Linked DNA regions of Oryctolagus cuniculus. Each later gene encodes a partner of the first gene's protein in a complex. Links are inferred from orthologs where the notes say so. Each region holds a gene or a part of one and is shown in the gene's direction. Other genes may lie near its edges. The genes, in order: ACVR2B and GDF2.

Evidence for each region.
Region 2: the proteins of ACVR2B (region 1) and GDF2 are in contact, whole or in part, in a crystal structure (PDB 4FAO), measured with the Homo sapiens proteins. The link is inferred for Oryctolagus cuniculus from reciprocal best matches to the Homo sapiens genes ACVR2B and GDF2. Residues at the interface, in NP_001097.2 of Homo sapiens: Asn35, Glu39, Cys49, Glu50, Glu52, Lys55, Leu57, Tyr60, Ser62, Arg64, Val73, Lys74, Cys77, Trp78, Leu79, Asp81, Phe82, Asn83, Glu94, Gln98, Val99, Phe101; in NP_057288.1 of Homo sapiens: Arg333, Ile346, Ala347, Pro348, Lys349, Glu350, Tyr351, Glu352, Lys397, Ser399, Pro400, Ile401, Ser402, Val403, Leu404, Lys406, Gly410, Val411, Pro412, Thr413, Leu414, Tyr416, His417.

The regions. Positions count from the first base shown.
Region 1 is NC_091435.1:174,642,431-174,646,225, forward strand, and holds part of ACVR2B (activin receptor type-2B), read left to right. Parts: intron 1-1,860; coding exon 1,861-2,068; intron 2,069-2,223; coding exon 2,224-2,333; intron 2,334-2,472; coding exon 2,473-2,624; intron 2,625-2,706; coding exon 2,707-2,850; intron 2,851-3,548; coding exon 3,549-3,692; intron 3,693-3,795. UniProt on the Homo sapiens protein: Transmembrane serine/threonine kinase activin type-2 receptor forming an activin receptor complex with activin type-1 serine/threonine kinase receptors (ACVR1, ACVR1B or ACVR1c).
Region 2 is NC_091446.1:80,859,919-80,864,457, reverse strand, and holds the start of GDF2 (growth/differentiation factor 2), read left to right. Parts: upstream 1-1,616; 5' UTR 1,617-1,799; coding exon 1,800-2,160; intron 2,161-4,539. UniProt on the Homo sapiens protein: Potent circulating inhibitor of angiogenesis. Signals through the type I activin receptor ACVRL1 but not other Alks. Signaling through SMAD1 in endothelial cells requires TGF-beta coreceptor endoglin/ENG.

The DNA.
Region 1 (3,795 bases):
TCGAACCTGTGTTCATATGTAATGCTGCCATCCGTATGTTCACATCATTTTCTCTTGGGGTTATTTTTGGTCCTGTTATTTGTACCCATTGTGGATATCTGAAATGCTCCTTTAGTCAAGCAGGGCAGTTAGTTAGCCAAAGACGATGGTAAGTCAGGTGGCAAGGGCAGCCCAAGGGCCGATGGAAGCAGAGAGGCCCTGCACCCCTGACTTTGGTGCTGCTGCTGGGGGGCGGGGCCTGTGGGCCTCCTAGGTGCTCGCCTGGGTGCTGCCCCTGGTGTTTGCCCGGCCTTTGGTCTCCCGCCCCACCTGCTCCCCTCTGGGGTCCCCCTAAACCTTAGGCTTGAGGAAGGGCCGCCCTGGGGCCTCCTGGGGGAGCCAGAGTGCTCTCCAGCGTGAGCCTCTCTGTGGACCTGAAGTCCTCCCGGGCTGAGACTGACATCCAGCTACCTGGCCGCCCAGGAGGCCCTGCGTCTGCTTCCCAGGTCGGATCTAGGCCCCAGGCGCCAAGGGCGCAGTTGTGGCTGGGAACCGCCATTCTGGCTGGGTAGCATCTTGAGCCCTGGGATCCAGCCTGGAGCCTGAGGTTTGCTGCCTGCCCCTGGCCGGTGCCCCTGGAAGGAGCTCCTGTTGTTGAACGGTCACTGTGGGGGTCAGGTCCTCCCCGGGACGAGCCCTGGGGCTCAAGCCCTCTGCTCACGGAGGCCACGTGGGCACGGAGAGGAGGTGGCGAAGGCCCTGGGTGGTGCGAGGTCAGGGTACTCGGGGACCCCGTCCTGGCTGTGCTCTGGCTCCCCCGGGGGCCTGACTGCCACCCATCCCTCCTCCTTCCTGGGGTGGGGTGGTTGCAGGGGGAGACCCGCCCAGCCGGTGCCAGGCCACTGGCCACAGCAGGCCTGAGACGTGGGGAGGTTGGCTGGGTGGCTGGTGCAGGCTTCCTCTTGGTGCCCACAGGGGTGCCAGCGTGAGGCCACACCTGCCCCTGCCTCCCAGGTCACGGGCACCCGCTGAGGGGCTGTGGCAGGCTTCTCCCACTGGCTTCTTCCCGTTGCAGGTGGTGGACCCGTTGGGGCCAAGGGCAGCTTTGGGGCTGGGGCCTGGAGTAGTTGTAGGGTGGGTCTGGTGAGTGAGGCCACGCTGGGAGGGAAGCGTCAGAAGGGGCAGATGGCGGTTTAGTGCTTGGCCACTTGGATGGACGGTGCCCAGGAGGATGACCTGTGACTGTGGCTCAGCCAGCTCCTTCCCGCCGAGTCGCACGAGGCGCATAGCCCCTGTGATCCTGGCTGCTGACTTGGCTCTGTGCGATGTTCTCTGGCCTGGGTGTGATGGCTGCACAAAGAAGGGACGGGGGGCGGGGGTAGGCTGCACGTAGAAGGGACGGGGGTGGCGGGGGGAGGCTGCACTTAGAAGGGACGGGGGGCGGGGGGGCAGTTCAGGTGTGGTCCCCAGGTGTGTTCCAGAATGACCAGAGACAGAGAGGGTGGTTACTAATGCGGATTCTGCCCCCATGCCCCTGGGACAGGGCTGGCCTGGGAATAGGCGTCTTCAATAAACACCGCTGCCTGAGCCCAGCCCACCCGCGGAGGACCAGGGCGCTTCTGTCTTGCCCTGGGGTCTCCCCATTTCTGCGGCTGCAGTGGCGTCGGTCTGGCCCGCTGCTTGGCACCCTTCTGTGGCGTCGGCTTCCTGCCTCCTCCCCCTTGCTTGGGCCTGGGGCAGCTGCAGTGGCTGGTGGGCTCTCAGGAAGCTGGGAGGTGGGGTGCGCAGGGGTCCGTGAGCCCACTCTGGCGCCTCCCTCTGGGAGCAGACGGTGGGGCCGCAGTGCTGGGTGTGCTCAGGTCTCTGCCCCCTGGGCTGCAGGCTCTGGGCACGGCGAGGCCGAGACGCGGGAGTGCATCTACTACAACGCCAACTGGGAGCTGGAGCGCACCAACCAGAGCGGCCTGGAGCGCTGCGAGGGCGAGCGGGACAAGCGGCTGCACTGCTACGCCTCCTGGCGCAACAGCTCCGGCACCATTGAGCTCGTCAAGAAGGGCTGCTGGCTGGACGACTTCAACTGCTACGACAGGTGCGCCCGCTGCCCCACGCTGCCCCACGCTGCCCGCCCCTGGCTGCCATCGTCCCCATGAGCTGCTGGGAAGGCCCTGCCTGGGGAGGGGCGTGGCCAGGCGGGCTGGGAGTCCTGCGTGCCTGGCTGAGGAGGTCTGGAAACCTCTGCCCCAGGCAGGAGTGCGTGGCCACCGAGGAGAACCCCCAGGTGTACTTCTGCTGCTGCGAAGGCAACTTCTGCAACGAGCGCTTCACCCACCTGCCAGAGGCCGGCGGCCCGGAAGGTGAGGGGCTGACCCAGCCGCGCGGGGCTGTCCTCGGCCTGGGGCGATTGGCTGCTGAGCTGGGTGGGCGTGGCAGCAGCCCCCCCCCAGGTGTCAGGGCGGGCGGGCTGTGTGACGCAGGGCTCCATGTGTCCCCCAGTCACGTACGAGCCACCCCCGACAGCCCCCACCCTGCTCACGGTGCTGGCCTACTCGCTGCTGCCCATCGGGGGCCTGTCCCTCCTTGTCCTGCTGGCCTTCTGGATATACCGGCATCGCAAGCCTCCCTACGGCCACGTGGACGTCCATGAGGTGAGACGGCGGGGCGGGGCCGGGCCGGGGCAGGGGAGAGGCGCGCAGCTGCGCAGGCCCACCAAGCTGTGCTCGTCCCCAGGACCCCGCGCCTCCCCCGCCGTCCCCTCTGGTGGGGCTGAAGCCGCTGCAGCTGCTGGAGGTCAAGGCCCGGGGGCGCTTTGGCTGTGTCTGGAAGGCCCAGCTCATGAACGACTTCGTGGCCGTCAAGATCTTCCCGCTCCAGGTGAGTGTTCCAGGGGCTCCAGGGCGTCCACGGCCACAGAGGCTTCCGCGGAGCCCCAGGCCCGGGGCCTCGCTGGGAGGCTGTGCTCAGCCCGGCCTGCAGGGACAGGCCCGGCTCTGCTTCCCAGGCTTTTCAAAAGTAGTATTTATTTATTTTTTGAAATATTTATTCACTTGAAAGGCACAGTTAGAGAAAGTTCTTGCATCTGTTGGTTCACCCCTCAAATGGCTGCAATGACCAGAGCTGGGCCAGGCTGAAGCCAGGAGCCAGGAGCTTCATCCGGGTCTCCCATGTGGGTGCAGGGGCCCAGGGACTTGGGCCACTTTCTACTGCTTTCTCAGGCCACAGCAGAGAGCTGGATCGGAAGAGGAGCAGCCGGGACTAGAACCGGCGCCCATGTGGGATGCCAGCCCTGCAGGCAGCAGCTTTACCCGTTATGGCACAGCGCTGGCCCTCGGCTTTTATTTGTGACGTCAGCATCTGTTCAGAGGCCCTGGACACCAGGCAGCCCAAGCCATTGCCCGTGAGCTTAGCAGAGCTGGGCCTAGCTCTGCCTCTCGCCTGTCAGGTCTGTCCCTGGCGTCACTGTTGGCCTGGCGCTCCAGAGCTCGGCCCAGTCCTGGGCTTCTCCGGGACGCTTAGCGGACGCTGAGGCTGGGAGGCGGGGTGGGGCGGGGCTGAGCAGCCTCTCCTCCCAGGACAAGCAGTCGTGGCAGAGTGAGCGGGAGATCTTCAGCACGCCCGGCATGAGGCACGAGAACCTGCTGCAGTTCATCGCTGCGGAGAAGCGAGGCTCCAGCCTGGAGGTGGAGCTGTGGCTCATCACGGCCTTCCACGACAAGGTGAGCCACGTGAGCCACGCCGTAGGGGCCCTGGGCTGCGCTGGAGCAGGCCCGAGGCCCGACGGGGATCAGAGTGGTGACCTCCTGCTTGGCACCTGCTGAC
Region 2 (4,539 bases), on another chromosome or scaffold:
ACTCCATCCCGATCTCCCATGCAGATGGCAGGGACCCAGCCACTTGACCCATCATCTGCTGCCTCCCGGGGTGCATGTTGGCAGGAACTGGCATCAGAAACATACCTGGGACTTGAACTCAGGATCTCTGACATGGGCTACATGACATGGGCTACACTAGGTCTAACTAGTATACTGAACACAACACCAAATGCCTGCCCCGTCACATTTTTAAAAAATCAACAGTTAACTGACCCTTGTACCACCCTGAGCACATCCAGCGGGCTCCCTGCCACCACGCGGCTCAGCCACTCCCGTGTGAAAACGTCCCGTTGGCCTCTGGGACTGGAGCACGCTGGGGGCCACTTACTGCCCTCCGAAGCTCCCTGCACCATGCCACACTCGGCAGGGGGCAGCTCCATTTCCCAAGCTTGGCACCCACTTGGATCTTTTTCCCCCCTCCTCTTGCCTTGGGCTGGACCAATGCCCAGAGCCATTTCCTGCCCGCCCCCGAGCAGCTGGATGAGGACAGCAAGTTCCGTCCGGGTGTGGCCATTCAGGGTTTCTGGTCTCTCCCTTCCCCCCACTGGGATCTGTGACCACAGCCTGCTGGGCCCCTCCTGCATCTCTCTGTGTCCTCCCCCAGGAGCCCCACCAGCCTGGATCAATGTCAGCTTCAAATTCTCCCCAGCGTGGACCACCAGGCACACCTGCCAAGTGCTTTGAACTGTGCTCTTTCTTTGCTTTGCACCAAAGCCTCTTGTGATGGACATAGACAGAAACTGTAATGACACAGTCCCTGGGGTCCCTCGGGCCACATCAACTGGGATGCAGCTTGTCAGCCTCCTCTGGCCAGGGAGCCATCTCAGAGCGTCCCACCTTCTCTGCCTGCCCAGACTCCGCATAGCTCTGCTGGCTGATGGATGTGAAGCAGGCTGCCCACCCCCCCAACACACACACACACATGCAGACCAGAGACAGAGCTGGTCTGGGAGCTCCCAGGGGCTGGCAGGCTGCAGTGTGTTTGCAGGGCTACTGCAGAGCTGGAGGGTAGGGAGAGAACAAGGAGCTTCTTCCCCCAGCTCCAGCTCAGGAGGCCCAGAGGTGGGGAGGAGGCACCCAGAACAGAGACACCCATGCCTGTGGCTGCTCCTGTTGACCATCTTCCATCATCACAATTCCCCTCCGAGCAGGAGGCGCTGAGAACCAAAGTCAAAGCTGCTCCAGGTTCCATTCGTGGGGGCTGGCGTTGGAACCCCCATCCACCCTGACCCCGAGGTCCTCCTGGCCACATTATGTGACATGGGAATGGCAGTGCTGGGCAGGCAGCTCATTGGACAGACACAGGGGCGCGGTGCGGCCACGTGGCAGGTTCCCATTCCCAACCGAGCAGGCGCACACCGATTTGCCCTGAACTTGGGGTGTCCACTGCGGTCATTGCTATATTTGGAGGGCTTCTGGGCCTTATTTCCTGGCTTCTTTGTTCCTGAAGCCCAGGGGCTGGAGTGTCCCCTGAATGGAGCTGTCCGGGAAACCAGCCAGGACCCTAATTAGGGGCGACGACCGACCGGTCGAGGGGATTCTTCCCGGGAGGCCGTGTCCTTCCCACAGGCCCTGCGCTTTGCCACATGTTTACAGAACCTTCATTAACCGAGGGTCCCTGCCGATAACAGCTCCCCTCGCAGCTTCGTGGGGCCAGATAAGAACAAGCGGATGGAGTCCGGGCCCGCGGGGCTGGCGGCAGTACTCCTAGCGGAGTCAGCGGGATGACGATGCGGGCGCGCTCCTCCCAGGCCGCTCCCTGCGCGCGCTAAAGCCCCATGGTCTCCTCCAAGATGGGCCCCGGGTCGCTGTGGGTGGCCCTGCCCGTGCTGTCGCTGCTGTCCTGCTCCGGGCAGGGAAAGCCTCTGCAGAGCTGGGGACGGGCCTCTGGCGCGGGGAACAGCCGCGCCTCGCAGGGGGAGCCCCGAGTGGGGCCGCCGCAGGGCGCGCTGGATCTGCAGGTGTTCCTGGAGAACATGAAGATGGATTTCCTGCGCAGCCTCAACCTGAGCGGGGTGCCCTCCCAGGACAGGACCAGGGCGGAGCCGCCGCAGTACATGATCGACCTGTACAACAGGTACACCTCGGACAAGTCCTCCACCCCCGCCTCCAACATCGTGCGCAGCTTCAGCGTGGAAGGTAGGGAGGGCTTCGCGGGGGGGCGGGGTCTCCAGGGCTGACTGAGCTCGCAGGTCCACGCTTCAGGTGGTCATCGTTCAGGCTGCCGGGAAATGAAATGAAGAAGTGGCCTGTTGGTTTCTCCAGGCTCATTCCAGGGCTCAGCAGTCGCCCCCGCTTGCTGTGCAGAGTCCACTTCCCTGGCCCCTGGGCCAATGGCACACAGTAGGTGCTCAGGGGTGCCAGGTTTCCCTCCTCCCCCCCCCGCCCTTCCTCTGCTCTCCCTCTGGCCCCTGGGTATCCCCTCCTACTCAGAAGCAGAACACTTGTTAGTCTCCAGCTCCCTACCATACCACGGAGTTTCAAAAAGTCCCTTGTGAAAAGTGGACTTAAAAGTGCATTTTGGTGCAAAAAAAATTTTGAAATCCATGTAGCTTTTTCATAGTATGAGTTTTGCTAAGAAAGTTTTGAAGAGACGTCAGTTTTTTAAAAAATATTTTATTTATTTATTTACTTACTTACTTGCTTGAGAGGCAGAGTTAGAGAGAGAGATGTCTTCCATGTGCTGGTTCATTCACTAAATGGCCCCGCAATGGTCAGGAGTGTGTCAGGCTGAAGCCAGGAGCCAGGAGCTTCTTCCAGGTCTCCCACGTGGGTGCAGGGGCCTAAGCACTTGGACCATCTTCCACTGCTTTCCCAGGCCATAGCAGAGAGCTGGATGGGAAGAGGAGCAGCCAGGACTAGAACCGGCGCCCATATGGGATGTCAGCACTACAGGCCAGGGCTTTAACCCACTGCGCCACAGCGCCAGCCCCAAGGCACTGACACTTCTTACTGCTGCAGTCCTGTCTGAAGGGCTGCGGGGGCACAGGCCTCTCCCCTTCCGGATCTCAGCCTTGCAAACATCTAAGGGGCTCGCAGCTCAGCACCCAGGCCAGGCCAGGCCAGACCAGACCTGCCTGGGGAAGAGAGCATGTACAGGAGTCAGGGCCGCTCGCTGCGGTCACGGCTGCCTGCCCAAAGTGCTGGATTTCCCCATTGTCCGAAAGAGAAAAATCCAGATTCCACGTGAACGAGCCTGATTTGTAACACGCTGGCCTCCCTTTTGAGAAAGACAGACTCTGCAGCTCCCCAGGCCCTGGGTCCCGTGTTTGGAGCCCTCCTGGGATCCCAGCATTCCCCTCTGCTTCCCTGCACACAAGATCCCGGAGGGCCCAGGGAGGCAGGCTTTGGTGTGTGGAGGGAGCCTGTATGGGAGGCAGCAGGGCATGTGGGATGCAGAAGTCTTGACTAAGTGTCCACTGGGAGCCAGAGACCATGTCCAGGAGGTTGGAGGCACCGCTTTATCCGAGCCTCACCCTGGCTCTGGGAGGCAGGCAGGATGAGCCCCATTTCACAGATGAGGAAAGTTGAGGCACAGAGGGGCTTGGACTCCCCTTCCCAGCCCCAGTCTGTTGGATACCGACACCTGCCCACAGGGTTCTGGGAGAGCACTCCCTTCGCTGCTGCTGGTGCGTGGTAGGCGCTCAGAAACACCACTTCTCTCCCCTCGCTGTTAGTGAGCTGTGTTGTAGTAGACACAGGCTGATGGCTGAGGGTCAGCTCCCTGGAAGCAGGGATTGGTTTTTTAAAGGCAGAGCTACAGAGAGAGAAAGAGAGAGAGAGAGAGAGTCCACCGGCTGGTCCATTCCTCCAAATGGCTGCAATGGCCAGGGCTGGGCCATGCCAAAGCCAGGAGCCAGGAGCTCCATCTCGGTCTTCCACATGGGTGCAGGGACCCAAGCACTTGGGCCCTCTTCTGCTGCTTTCCCAGGCACATTGGCAGGGAGCTGGATTGGACGAGGAGCAGTCCAGCTTGAACCAGCACCCATATGGGATGCCGGCATCACAAGCAGAGGCTTAATCCTATATGCCCCAACAGCAGTCCCAGGAAGAGGAAAATGGAAGTGATTACTTATCTAAAAAACAGGCCCCGTTTTGCCTGATGTGACAAAGCCATGAGGCTAATAGATCTTTTCCCCACGAATACTGGAAAAAAAAAATCTGTTTTCACTGTGCTTTGGATTTACTACTCCAAAGGATTTATACACAGTGTAGACGCTGAGGTTTGTAACGCTGACTTTCACGTCCCCCTCCGAGGCTCTTTGCTGTAAATCCATGCCAGAGCATCTTCCCCTAAGCCTGACAATGAATGCCTTTAGTCCTTGTCCCCGTGTGAGGGTCCTCACCAGTTCAGTGCCTTTTGACAATGAGATGCCTTAAGTCCCAGTCATCAGGTTCTCCTGGTGTGAGTGAGGCTTAAAGGGAAAGCCCTGCCCGAAGCAGCTAGCCTGGTGCTTCCCAAGACCCTAAACGTGCTCTCCCAAACACGCTTCCTCCCTGAGGGCTCGGGTGAAATCA